Anolis sagrei: one gene and its partner. The protein of the gene in region 2 interacts with the protein of the main gene of each other region in a pairwise test. Links are inferred from orthologs where the notes say so. Each region holds a gene or a part of one and is shown on either strand. Other genes may lie near its edges.

Region 1 (7,210 bases), on a different chromosome or scaffold from region 2:
TTAAGGTCCTATCTTTTTTCATTACATTTAAAGGTGTTACTCAACTGTTGAAAAAAGTGAATATATTGCAACAACAAACTGCAACAATATTTCTGAAGTCTAAAATCAGCACATTGACCTATATTTTCTCTAGAACATTAAAGAAATAAGATAAGAAGAAACTCTTGCTCTGACTCGTCAAGAGAAAGAGTGCCATGTTTGGACATCATGTTAAACAAATAAACAACAGGAAGCCCATGCTATGTTGAACTGCTCCTTCTTGCAATGGGACGAACCTTGTCTCTGACAGTTTGGGTACTTTTTAAAGATGTAGAATTGGAAACCACCCAGTGCACCAAGAGAGTTCTCTTTATTTATTTATTTATTTATTTACTTACTTATTTATTGCATTTATATACTGCTTTTCTCACCCCTGGGGAGACTCAAAGGAAAGGCAGGATTCAGTGCCAACATATATACAAAACCAAAGCATGCTAACTAAAACAATAGCATATAACTATACATTAAACAAAATATTTGCAGAAATATTTAAAAACTATTCAAGAAATTATTTCAAAAATATTGATTTAAATATTTGCACAAATATTCATTGAAATAATCACAAAAGGATGCAGAAATATTCACAAAAATATTCACAGAAATGATCATAAAATATATACAAAATATTGTCAGAAATATTCACTGAAATAATCACAAAAATATTGTCAGAAATATTCATTAACATAGCCACAAAAAGAGTTATAGAATTCGTAACATATTTGCAGAAATATTCACAAAATGTTCAACAAATTATTTCAAAAAATAATCATAAAAATATTCCCAGGAATTATTCACAAAAAATATTCACAAAATATGTTCAGAAAAATATATGCTGAAATATTTGGGAAAAATATTCTCAGAAATAATCAAAATACTCACAAATATATTTTCAGAAAAAAAATCCTAAAAATATTTGCAGAAATATTCATTAAAATGTTTGCTGAAATAATCATAAAAATATTCCCAAAAATGTATTCATAAAATATTTGCCTTCAGGCCTTGGGTTTGGGGAGGCAGGGGAGGAAGGGAGGAAGAATAGAAGGAAGGAAGGGCCCTTTAATATTATTATTATTATTATTATTTCCATTATTTTTGTGATTATTTTTCACCCTTTTATTCTTCTGTGATTTTCCCATGGGGACTTCAGAATTCTTAACCATGAGATTTGAGGTTGCACATCACTAGTTTTGATGAGTTTGTCGTAAAATGTGGTGTGAAAGCAATATTCTCATAAAAGCTTTGCAGAATTTTTTTTGGCCTAAAGCTAAGAGCGTTCATTTCTACTTGCCTTAAAGTCAGATTACTAAACACAAGCAATATTCCATCCCCTGACAGTAACAGCATTCAAGAATGCATTGTGCAAGGCAACAGCAATGACATTAAATGGAAATAAAAGACTTTCCTACATTTAGCCACTTGGATAAGACTATTAAATGTTATAAGCTGGACTTGAACTAATTTCTCAACACAAATACATAATAATGAAAAATATTAAGATTACATCATTCAAGAAAAATGCTCCCTACATACCGTACACCTAACATTATCATAATTTTCTTCTAAGTATGATTCCCAGTGAGCCTCATCAACAAAATCCCAATTGGGGTAGTCCACAAATGCAGCATGAGCAACAGGTATATTCTTCTCATTAATCACAGTCACTGCAAGGTTGGCTTTTTCTCTGTAAAACAAATGTTTAGATTTCATTGATGGAACAAGTAAAAATAAATTACAGGATTTTTAATTAGGATAAATAGTTACCATTGTGTTACTTACAAAAGATAAATAACATTGACTCTGCCAAAAAGTCTTTCTGTATCATATTTCATGTGACCAACAATATTAGGAATATCATGGGATTCTGTTCTTCTGGCACTGAGTGTGACAGTAGATTGAATAGACGATGATGTTAGACGTAATAATGAAGTCATATTCTAAACTGCAACACAAAGAGGAAAAATGCTTCTTCAGACAAATGAGTTATAGCCCAGGACAAAACTGAAAATAATGACAAAAATGTAGAAGTAATTTAAAATGACACCAATTTTTGCAGTATGGTCCTATGTATAAAACTGATTGGCTAAAATTATATGCACTTTCACATAACTTCTTTTACTATTACAAAATGAACCCAACTTATTAGATCAGGCAATGTGTGATTTATGCTTACACTTCAGGTTTCTAATAAATATGCATGGGACATTAATGACTTTCTACAATTGGTTTCCAGTTTTTCCAACCATACAAAAACAGTTGATATGTTATCAGCTATCACGGACATTGCAGTTTTGTAAGGAATGTCACTTTCTTCAATCCCTAGATTCCTCTATGACAGGAATTTAGGGTTAGCTGTTGAACTAGTTGTGCAGTTCAGTTGTACACATACTTGCATGACAGAAGTGTGCAGTGGGCCATGTTCTAGAGGCATTCTCTCCTGATGTTTTGCCTGCATCTATGGCAAGCATCCTCAGAGGTAGTGAGGTCTGATGGAACTAGCAAAAAGGGTTTATATATCTGTGGAATGACCAGAGTGGGACAAAGGACTCTTTTCTGCTGGAGCTAGGTGTGATTGTTTCAACTTACCACCTTGATTAGCATTTGATGGCCTGGCAGTGCCTGGGGCAATCTTTTGTTGAGAGGTGATTAGATGTCCCAGATTGCTTCCTCTCTGTTGTTTTGCTGTTTTAATTTTTGAGGTTTTTTAATACTGGTAGCCAGATTTTGTTCATTTTCATGGTTTCCTCCTTTCTGTTGAAATTGTCCACATGCTTGTGGATTTCAATGGCTTCTCTGTGTAGTCTGACATGGTGGTTGTGAGAGTGGTCCAGCATTTCTGTGTTCTCAAACAATATGCTGTGTCCAGGTTGGTTCATCAGGTGCTCTGCTATGGCTGATTTCTCTGGTTGAAGTAGTCTGCAGTGCCTTTCATGTTCCTTGATCTGTGTTTGGGCGCTGTGTTTGGTGGTCCCTATGTTGACTTGTCCACACCTGCATGGTACATGGTAGACTTCTGCAGAAGTGAGAGGATCCCTCTTGTCCTTTGCTGAACATAGCATTTGTTGGATTTTCAAACAACAGTCAGGCCAACAAATGCTAATCAAGGTGGTCAGTTGAAACATTCACACCTGGCTCCAACAGACAAGCAGGCCTGAAGCGAGGGGGTGGTTTTAGGGGTTCAACCCCCCCCCCCCCGAAATGTTTCAGATTTTTTTAAAAAACCTGGGTTACTCATGAATTTTAACTGGTTAACCAAATCCCCATGCTGTCTATGAGATGCAAAAAATTAAGAGTCCCTCCAGAACTGCAAGCACTATCTCAAGCAAATATTGACAATTTATTCACACTGTCATTACTTGCAGCAATAGCTGATGTAGTGAAGCAACCAAGTTGGGGGTGTGCATGTTGAATGCTCTCATTAAGGAGGCCAGACTTGGTGGAGGTGGTTGACAGGGGCGGAGCTGCAGGCTATTGAAGGCTGCTCTGCCCTCTGCTGTGCTCTTTGCTTCAGCGTGAGCTAGGAGGCAGGTTTCAACCCTCCCCACGGCCGAAAATTTCAAACCCCCCCCTGAAAATTTCAACCCCTCCTGAAATTTTTTTCTGGCTACGGCCCTGCAGACAAGAGTCCTTTGTCCCATCCTGGTCATTCCACAGATATGTAAACCCATTTTCCTAGTTCCAACAGACCTCACTACCTCTGAGGATGCTTGCCATAGATGCAGGAGAAACGTCAGGAGAAAATGCCTCTAGAACATGGCCATATAGCCCGAAAAAACCTACAACAACCCAGTGATTCCGGCCATGAAAGCTTTCGACAATACAAGGCCTAACCATCTTGTTCAATGGGCAGGGATTCTAGGGGCCCTTCCACACAGCCCTATATCCCAGAATATCAAGGCAGAAAATCCCGCAATATCTGCTTTGAACTGCGTTATCTGAGTCCACACTTAGATAAAGTGGGGTTTTGTGCCTTGATATTCTGGGATATAGGGCTGTGTGGAAGAGCCTTGAGTGTGGGCTGAGATAACCCACTTCAAAGCATCCCGCAGGACTCACCTTTCAGCAAGGGAGGCCTCTCAATGTGCTGCTGGGCTTCGAGCTCTGAATCAGGACCGCGGCGCGTGCCCGTTGCCAAGGCGACGGAGAGGTCGAGCTTGCCGGCCGCGCGGAATGATGGGAAGCGGAGGCGGAGCTTAGTAGAGACTTCGTCGGAAGCGCTGCGAAAATGGCGTCTACGGCGGCCGGGAAGCAGCGGATCCCCAAAGTAGCCAAGGTGAGGGCGCGAAGCAATGGCAGGGTCACTTATTTCTGTGTGCTTCTCTTCGGGGTTCAGTCCCCTCGGGACTTGACTTCGGAACAGAAAAGGAGTCAGCTTGGGCTGAGGGGGATAGTCGAGGGGGGGAAAGTGGCAGGGAAAGTGGGAGGCCGCGCTCTTCTGGGAGAGAGGGGCCTTTTCGCAGCACTCGGTTGAGCAGGGCCAGCTACTAAGGTTGCATCCAAAATGAAAAGAACTATTGTTTTAATAGTAACTAACCGTCCCCTTCCACGCGTTGCTGTGGCCCAATCTGTGTATATGTGTTTTGTGTGTGTATATATTTGTGAATATGTGTATATATGTGGTTTTGTGCATGTGTTGTAATGTAAATATGGGCTAAATTTCAATATTTCCATATGATTTGTTAACTTTTGCTGATCCCATACCTCCACAGGTAAAGAACAAAGCCCCTGCAGAAGTACAGATCACAGCAGAGCAGCTCTTAAGAGAAGCAAAGGAGAGAGAGCTTGAGCTACTCCCCCCACCCCCTCAACAGAAGATCACAGATGAAGAAGAACTAAATGATTATAAACTTCGCAAAAGAAAAGTAAGTAAATATTATGATCTACTGGTGTTGTGATAGCATTTATTTAAGCTTATATCACAGTTACTTAAAATACACATTATTTAAAATACACATTAACCTGTAAAGCAAAGCTCCTGGAGAATATGATTGGATGTAAAGAAAGTGAAATCTTGAAGTTTTGCACTATCCTAGGTCCGGTCTTCTTTATACCCTGATCATGCCCATCTTAGAATTTTGGTTATTGGTTTTTGTTGTGTATTGTTTGAGTGAGTTTTAATGCTGCTGTTTTATACCCTTATGTTTTATTTAATTGTGTTTTAGTTTATTGTTATGCTTTGCTATGTTTTATTTTAATTGTGGTTTTTGTTTTAATGGATTGTTTTGTTTTGATGTTCTGTGGACATTTTGTCCCATGTGCAAGCCGCCCCAAGTTCTTTAAGGGAGATGGAGGCGGGGCATAAAAATAAAGTTGTTGTTATTATTATTATTATCATTATCATCATCATCATCTTAAATAGCATCCTTGTAGCTGCTCATGAATATTATCGTAAGGCTATCATGAGCTTGGCACTTCACTGCAGGAAAGGACTGTTGACCTCGTTTCTGATTCTGAAAATTATTAATCTGAATCATGTCCTTAGAGGTATTCTGTTTTTGTTTATTCTGCTTAATACTTGTTTGAATACTTCTCTATGGGGAATAGAAAAGCACTAAACATAGTCTGTGTTGACATATTGTGTAGTGAAGTAGAGTTATTGTTGCTCTAAAAATAATTTTAGAAATTTGCCCCATGCTTTTTCTATAGACTTTTGAAGATAACATAAGAAAAAATCGGACAGTTATTAGCAACTGGATCAAGTACGCACAATGGGAGGAAAGCCTCAAAGAAATACAAAGGTAACTATTTCCCTTTGGGCATCATTTGCTGCATAAATAACCAATAGTGGTCATTACCTTAAGATTGGAATTTCAAATGCATTAATTTCAACCCTGTTTTGCTGTCAGGGCTCGTTCCATCTACGAGCGTGCTCTAGATGTGGACTACCGAAATGTCACCCTTTGGCTAAAGTATGCGGAGATGGAAATGAAGAACCGCCAAGTCAATCATTCTCGAAATATTTGGGACCGTGCCATCACAACTTTACCAAGAGTCAATCAGTTCTGGTAAGCTAAGCATGTTTGGTGCTTTTCAAACAGTAGTAAACTGAAATAAATATTCCTGTGAAAATGTATTTTTGCTGTATTTTTGTGTAAAATCACTTCATTAATTAGATGACAGAACTGCCCTTTCTTATGTTGCTTTTACTTGCATAGGTACAAATATACTTACATGGAAGAGATGTTGGGAAACATTGCTGGGACCCGCCAGGTGTTTGAACGCTGGATGGAGTGGCAGCCAGAGGAACAAGCTTGGCATTCCTTCATTAACTTTGAGCTTAGATACAAGGAGGTGGACAGAGCACGGGCTATTTATGAAAGATATATCCTTTTCAGTGTATTCCAGTGTCAACTTCATGATTTGTTCATATTTTTTCTTCCAATAACACTATATAACATGATTTTTGTTCCTGAATTATAAATGTTATTTCCTAATTGGTTCTATCATAAAAACATGGAAAAGGTTTGTTAAACAGCAAAAACTTTGTTTTTGTGGGACATCCTGCAACATATTTTTCTATAGTAGTAGTAGTAGTAGTAGTAATAATAATAATAATAATTTATTTGTAGTTTTTCAATGATTATCTGATAAGAATCTCAATGAGAAATAGATTTTTTTCCAAACTGGATTACATAGTATAATAAAATCTGCCTATTTGATAGTGTAGGAGACAGAAAATTAGCTATTTTAAAATATATCTTTATTGAAATCTTTCTATAACATGATTTAAAATATCAGAAAAGTAAAGAAAAGACAAGAAAAAGGTGGAGATAGAAGAGACAAGAGGAAAAAAAACTAGTGAAATATACCTTAAATTAAAAATAACAAAAAAATGAAAAAGAGAAATGTATCTTCTTGACTTCCAGAGTATCTTCTGTGAGGTGTCCTCCTTTTCCTTCTTCCTTACTTTTTCTCTCTTTTTTTCTTCCTTCATCATTCCATCTCCCCTTCATTCATTTGAGGTTGATTTTTAATTTCTATATTAACATCTTATATTTCTTTTCTTTTAGATATTCTGTAACTTTCTTCCAATTTGTCTCTTATTGGTTTACCTTTGTTTTGGTTTTTTTGATATCAAACAGAAAATTAGCTATTAAGGAGAAAAATATGAGCTGTGTCTCCTTGACTTCCCTTCCTTGCTTTCTTAAAAACCAACAAACAGTACAGTATTGTT
Region 2 (6,938 bases):
CAGAAGCATGCAAATGTAAGTGGATTAATAGGTACCGCTTCTGTGGGAAGGTAATGGTGCTCCATGCAGTCATGCCGGCCACATGACCTTGAAGGTGTCTACAGAAAACATCGGCTCTTCGACTTAGAAGTAAAGATGAGCACCACCCCCCAGAGTCAGACACGACTAGACTTAACCTTCACCTTAAGAAGTCAAAATGCAAGTTGCATATTTGGATCGATATCTTTTTTCTGACTTTAGGAAACATGGACTATTTTTATTGCAACTGGTGGTCCACATACCACAGGTTAGGAACCACTGCCCTAGACGGTCAGGTCCATGCTATTTGGCTGACCACATCTCCTTGTACGAATCTGCTCGGGCACTGAGATCTTCAGGAGAGGCTCTTCTCTCGGTCCCACCTTCATCTCAAGCTCAGTTGGTGGGAACAAGAGAGAGGGCCTTCCTTCCCCTCGACTCTGGACCTCTCTACCCAGGGAAGCCAGAATGGCCCCTTGCCTGCTGTCCTTCCGGTGGCAAGCTAAAACCTTTTTATTCCTGCAGGCTTTTAAAGATAAAAGTCTTTAAGATCTAGTAAGGGGATGCTGTGGTTTTTTTGATGTTTTTAACTATGAATTTTTTTAGTGGCATATGTGTTTAATTCTACTTTAATGCTCACATTTTTTTATATTTTAAATTGTATACTAATGCTTTTATGTCAAGCCACTTTGCATCCCCTTTGGGGAGATAAAGAGGGGAATAATAATAATAGCTTCTGATAGAGAAGATGTTGTTGTTCCTGATGGCATGCTTGTCTTTAAAAGAGTTGGGACAAGTTCTATGATGTCATGACATTCAGGCATCACTGAGTGTTTTCTTTTTGTTCATTAATTTTTGAGAGGCAACCACTGCATTTAATTTCAGTTACAATAACTATGCATTCTACATTACAAACAATACAATAAACAAATAACAAAAAGGCAATACTTGCAAAGCAAGAGAGAGAGAGAGAGAGAGAGAGAGGCAACCACTCAGTTACAATAACTATGCTTTCTACATGTATAGACTATGTAGGATTATGACTGTATTAAACAGACACAATGCTGATGTCACCTAGCATTTTAGGACTATTAACCGTTTAGTAAGATAAAGCCATTATGGCTCCAGAATGGATGAAATAAGGTGAAGCTTAAAGTATTATTGGAAAATGCAGTATGTGTTGAGGTTTTTAAGTAACTGTCTTCAAATCAACTCCCATCTTATGACAATTATGCTATATTGTTTTCTTTGCAAGATTTGCCTTAGTGCTCATGATGGAAAGAGTTCAACTTGTCCAAGTGTGCCTGTATTTTTCCATGGGTAAGGGGTCCCCTGGAGATCTAGCTTGAGAGTTGAACCACTTCATGACAGTGGCTCTTTTGGAATCGATATTATTGTTGTTAACTGCCATCAAACCCCATGAACGATGAACCTCCAAGTTACCCTGCTCAGATCTTGCAGACTCAGAGTCATGGCTTCCTTGATTGAGCCCACCCATCTGGAATTGTAGTCCTCCTCTTTTCCTGCTGCCTTCTACCTCACCAAGCACAATTGCCTTTTCTAGTGAGTCATGTCTTCTCAAAATATGGCCAACATCTCGGTTTAGCCATGTTGGCTTCTAGGGAGAGTTCAGACTTGATTTGCTCTAGGACCCATTTATTGCTTTTTATAGCAATCCACAGTATCCAAACTCTTCTCAAGCACCACATTTCAAATGAGTAGAATATCTTCCTATCAGATTTCTTTACTATCCAGCTTTTGCAACATACATAGAAATGGTTTTCACAGGTCTGATAGCATTCCCTGAAGTCAATGAGTCAGATTAAGGACTTGGTTTTTTTCTTCTTCTAAGAAGTCAATTTGAACATATTTACTTCTCTTCCAAATAACAATCCTCTCCTTCTGTAAAGACAGAAGTGCCCTTTGGGTGCTTTGAGAACTCATTGATACATGCATGTTTTCCCACTTGAGTCTCCAAACAATAGAGAATCAAGTGATGTACGTGTGTGAGAGAACTTCCGGTTAAGCCTGTTATAGTGAATACAAGGCAGCCTAAGAGGAAAACAGTCTTGATTGTTTTGCCAAGCATAAAACTCTGTTACATACTCTCAGTATAAAGACTTAATTCCTAGGGAGTAGCACTTAATAATAAGTGTGGTTGAGCATGTCCCCAGAAATTTCCCATAACGCTAATTATAACCATCATTGTACAATGGGGATTAAAATCTTGCAGGATCCAGGAATCCTGGTGACATAAAAACTTGCTGCATCCACAAAGAAAATTGCACTCCTTATACAGAATGGTTTTGCATAATAGTCATATCTAGCTGACATCAGCTAAGCAGAGTCGTGCTTGTAGGTCTGTTGTGCATATGGTATAAGAGTGATCACTTGTGGCCAGGCATGTAGCTGGGGGGGGGGGGGGCTTGAGGGGCTTCAGCCCCCCCCCCCCCGAAATTCTCATGGTGGTTCGCGAAAAGGCCTTACTGGTGCATTATTTAAACTGTTGTTTATTCATATCATGATCTGATCACCATTCTCAATATATCCCATATGCATGGGGGTATTGGGGTAATGATACAAAAGGTTTGCTAGGTTAGACCCTCTTTCACTCAGACTCAGCCCCCCCCCGAAACTCAGCCCCCCCGAACCCCCCCCCCCAAAAATCACCCTCCCCCCGAAACGAAATCCTGGCTACGGGCCTGCTTGTGGCCGAGTATTACTGTCTCCCATAAATGATGGTGAAGACCTATTCTTCATCCACGTGGTGTTTCACGTTGACATAGATTTCCAGATGGAAGGCAGTCACAACAGAGATTTGTGTGGTGGCACATTTCTGTGTTTTTGCCTGCCACTTTTGGATTCTTCCTTGCTGGGGTGTTCCTGCGAGTATCTTTGTAGATCTTAGGAAGCTGTTTCTTGATTTAAGACGTTGGCATGCTTGCTGATATCTGGACAGAACATGGGCCGGAAATGTCAATGCCTTGGTCCTTTCATTAATGGCCACTACTTCCCGATGGATGCAGGGAAACACTATAATTTCTGCAGTGGTGTATGGTGTAGACACCCTGTAATAATGCGGCATGTCTCATTAAGAGCCACACCCACTGTTTTAGCATGGCGAGATGAGTTCCACATTGGGCATAGATATTCAGCAGCATAGCAAAGCGCAAGGGCAGATGTCTTCACTGTCTAGTTGTGATCCCCAGGTTGTGCCAGATACCAGGTGCTGCACACAATATTTGTAAGTAACGGACTGGGGAAAACCTTCTGAGTATTCCTTCATTGTCTCTGTAAGTTAGCAGGTGACTTGAAGGCACATAAAGAGAGACCGTCTGAGTAAGAATCTGAAGTAAGAATCCCCTGTTACTAGAGCGCAGCCTGTTCAGTGCCTCCAGCCCTTCCACACTTGTGTGTGCCCAGGAGGGAGTTTCTCATTCATTGTAACAGAATTGATGCAGCTTGGCATCACTTTGTACTTCATCACACTAGAGAATGAATTTGGTTGCTGCCTCCTCTTGCAGAATTCTGGGGTTTGTAGTTTAGTGATGCTGTTAAAGGCTCCTCCCTAAATTACAAAACCCAGAATTCTGCAAGAGGCAGCAACCAGATTTAAAGTGGATTCATTCTCTAGTGCGATGAGGTCCTTTAGCTGGCCAAATGCTATGGCATCCTGGGCGATGCAATTTGGCGCAAGGCCCCAGCGCTCTTTGACCGCGATGGCTGAAGAAAGACCCTGTGAAAGTGAACTGCCAACATTCCAACAGCCCTGAGCCATGCCGGTTCAAGCGGGGCCGAAGCGCATTAATTCTCTAGTGCGGATACAAGGGAGGGAAGCGCCTGGGAGGCCCGAGGGAGGGAGGGATGGAGAGAAGAGGCGTCCCTCCCGCCTCTTTCCCAAGCCAAACGGGGCGGCCTTTGGGTCCTTCCGACGGTCTGGGGGCGGGGAAGGAGGGGAGGGGAAGCAGCCACCCGAGGATGTGGAGCAGCGGCGACCCCTCGGCTTCGGGCGGCACGGAGCGAGACCCCGGTGAGGAGTGGGGGCTTCTCGGGAGGGAGCAGAAGCGGGTGGGAGTGGCGATGGCCAACAGGCAGCAAACAAAGGAGTTTCCCCGGGACGGCCGCGCGCCGCCTCTCCTTTGCCCGGGGAAGCACGAGCCCTTCTGGTAGGGGTTTCGCCGCCACCCCGGGAAGCCTCCTTCCTCTCGCGCGCCCCCTCCTGGCCGGGAGCGGGAATAGGCATCTCCACTCCCAACATTTTCAACTCACTGCTATGAACTCATGGGAGTCGTGGTTTGATGAAGCGCTCTGTGGCCAAGAAGGCTCAAGGCCTTGTAAAACTATAACGTCGGCATCCCAGAGCAGTTCAACTGCTGTTGAACTGCATTAATTCTACAGCGTAGACACACCCAAGGGCCCAGAAGATGTCCCATAGAGGTCCCTGCTGTCACAACAGGCATGGGCAAACTTGGGCCCTCCCTCCAGGGCTTTTGGACTTCCACCATTCCTAACAGCCTCAGGTCCTTTCCTGTTAGGATTGGTGGGAGTTGAAGTCCAAAAGGCCCAAGTTTGCCCATGCATAATTCAACATTGTGATATAATGCAGTTTGAAATTGCATTATATGGTCAGTATAATTCATATGGTGCAATTTTACTACATTATGTGAGGCTGGATCTTCACTGGAATTTGACAGCATTGGACTAGATTCTACACTGCCCTAAAATCCAGATCAATGCAGTTAAATTGCATTATATGGCAGCATACATCTAGCCAGTATCTACACTGACCATATACTGCAGTTTTAATTGTATTTACAGACTATATCTGTATATCTATACTCTTCTAGGCTAAAAATGTTGATAAAGGCTATCCAGGCTTGTGTTGCTGTGATAGATATTCATCGGTCATGGAATAACTTCAATCTGGGGGCACATTCATGCTATGCAATTATAGCACTATGATTCCACTTTATTGCCATGGCAACATCCCATGGAATCCTGAGATTTCTAATTTAGCTCAGATAGTCCCTGAGTTACAAACATCCAACTTACAAAAGACTCATAGTTAAGAATAGGGGTGTGACCACAGGAAGTGAGAGAAACCTACCCTTTGGAAGGGAAATTCACTCCTGGAAGAGTTATCATGGGGGAAAGGGGTCTCCACTGAAGCTTTATCACCAATCCTTGGTTCCACAACAAGCCAAAATGTTCACAGTTCAGTTATCACAGGGACAGAATGTGAGGTGAAATCTTCTGAATGGGTACAGACAGCAAAACTAACAACACAGAGTGTTCACCCTTCCCTATGCCATCCAGAGCTAACACGTATATATATTTGTTTTGTTGAAGACTTTCATGGCTGGAACCACTGGGTTGCTGTGATTTTTCCGAGGTGTATGGCCATGTTCCAGAAGCATTCTATCTTGAATGACATGAAAACAAGACATGAAACAATCAGGATCAGCTAACACCTCCCAACAAAGCATTCCCCCAGGCAGGAAGCAGCCTGGCTTTGAAGCAGCAAGTCCATTCAGTGCTAACAAACGTGGTCTATTGCAATATTCACACTTGCCTCAAACAGACAAGAGTTCTTTCTCCCACCCTGGACATTCCACAGATGTATAAACCTCACTTGCCTATTTCCAACAGATCTCACAACCTCTGAGGATGCCATGCCATAGATGTGGACAAAACATCAGGAGACAATGCTTATGGAACATAGACATACAGCCAGGAAACCTCAGAGCAACCCATATATATTTTTGGTTGGAGCTACACTTACAAATGTACCTGTTTTGATTTACATGCAAATTCAACTTAAGAACAAATCTACAGAACCCATGTTGTTTGCAACTTGGGAAGTGTCTGTATTGGTCTACATTCAGCTGCTAGTCCCAGTTTGAGCAGAAATAATGCAAACACTCTATGGCTCCCTTCCATCCCACATTATCTGTTTTGAACTGGGCTCAGGGGCGGCCCGTCCACTACGCAAAGTAAGCGGTCACAGAACACTTTTTTTTGCCAGGGGCACAGAGGCACCTCTGTAAATGCCCCTCGACTGCCACTTGAAGAGTGCCCCCTCAGCTCACAACAGCCCTAGCAGTCCGGGGGGAGCCTCGGCTTTCTTGCCTCGCTGCTGGGCGATCCTCTTCCCAAAGGGGCTGGGCCCTTGAACCTCGCCTAGCCCCTCTCGTTCCTGCTCCACCTGGCCACCGGGTGCACGAGCAGAGCCAGCGCTCAATCATTCTCCGCACTCGATCCCTTCCCCATGACCGGCTCCCTTTCCCGATCCCCCGGCGCTTCACCTGCCTCCTCTCCTCTCCCCAATCCACGGGTGGTCCAAGGGGCGGAGCCGTCGCGCCTGGCCCGCTTCGGGTCCGGAGGCGTGTCTGAAGACCCCAGCGTGCGCACCAAAAGTCACCTCTTCTCCTGACTTTCTCTTCAGCCATTGGGACCAAGAGAGAGAGAGAGAGAGCCCCTCCAGCTGGAGGTATCTCCTACCTCCGCTCCCTCCTTTGTTTTTGTGCCTACCTTCAGGAAAGGTGGGCATCTCCACCTCTCTCTCTCTCTCTCTCTCTTTCTCTCTCTCGGTCCCAATGGCTGAGGAGAAAGTCAGGAGAAGAGGTGACTTTTGGTGCACACGCCGGGGTCTTCAGGCACGCCTCCGGACCCAAAGCGGGCCAGGCAAGGGAGCAAGTGCGGCAAGTGTAGTTACTGGGATGTATAGCTCACCTACAATCAAAGAGCATTCTGAACTCCACCAATGATGGAATTGAACCAAATATGGCACACAGAACTCCCACGACAAACAGAAAATATATATCAATGGTTGGGGGGGGGGGCACCAAAATACTGTTTGCTTACCATTGAAAATTACCTAGGGCCGCCTCTGACTGGGCTATATGGCAGTGTGGACTCAG

Evidence for each region.
Region 1: the proteins of DISC1 (region 2) and CRNKL1 interact in a two-hybrid assay, tested with the Homo sapiens proteins (2 studies listed by IntAct). The link is inferred for Anolis sagrei from reciprocal best matches to the Homo sapiens genes DISC1 and CRNKL1.

Annotation. Positions count from the first base shown.
Region 1 is NC_090024.1:139,014,240-139,021,449, reverse strand, and holds the start of CRNKL1 (crooked neck-like protein 1), read left to right. Parts: upstream 1-4,206; 5' UTR 4,207-4,261; coding exon 4,262-4,309; intron 4,310-4,745; coding exon 4,746-4,898; intron 4,899-5,682; coding exon 5,683-5,774; intron 5,775-5,882; coding exon 5,883-6,041; intron 6,042-6,191; coding exon 6,192-6,358; intron 6,359-7,210. Other genes in the region: CFAP61 (cilia- and flagella-associated protein 61), read right to left, coding at 1,570-1,720, 1,816-1,970. UniProt on the Homo sapiens protein: Involved in pre-mRNA splicing process. As a component of the minor spliceosome, involved in the splicing of U12-type introns in pre-mRNAs.
Region 2 is NC_090021.1:60,761,715-60,768,652, reverse strand, and holds the start of DISC1 (disrupted in schizophrenia 1 protein), read left to right. Parts: upstream 1-3,923; 5' UTR 3,924-3,996; coding exon 3,997-4,048; intron 4,049-6,938. UniProt on the Homo sapiens protein: Involved in the regulation of multiple aspects of embryonic and adult neurogenesis. Required for neural progenitor proliferation in the ventrical/subventrical zone during embryonic brain development and in the adult dentate gyrus of the hippocampus.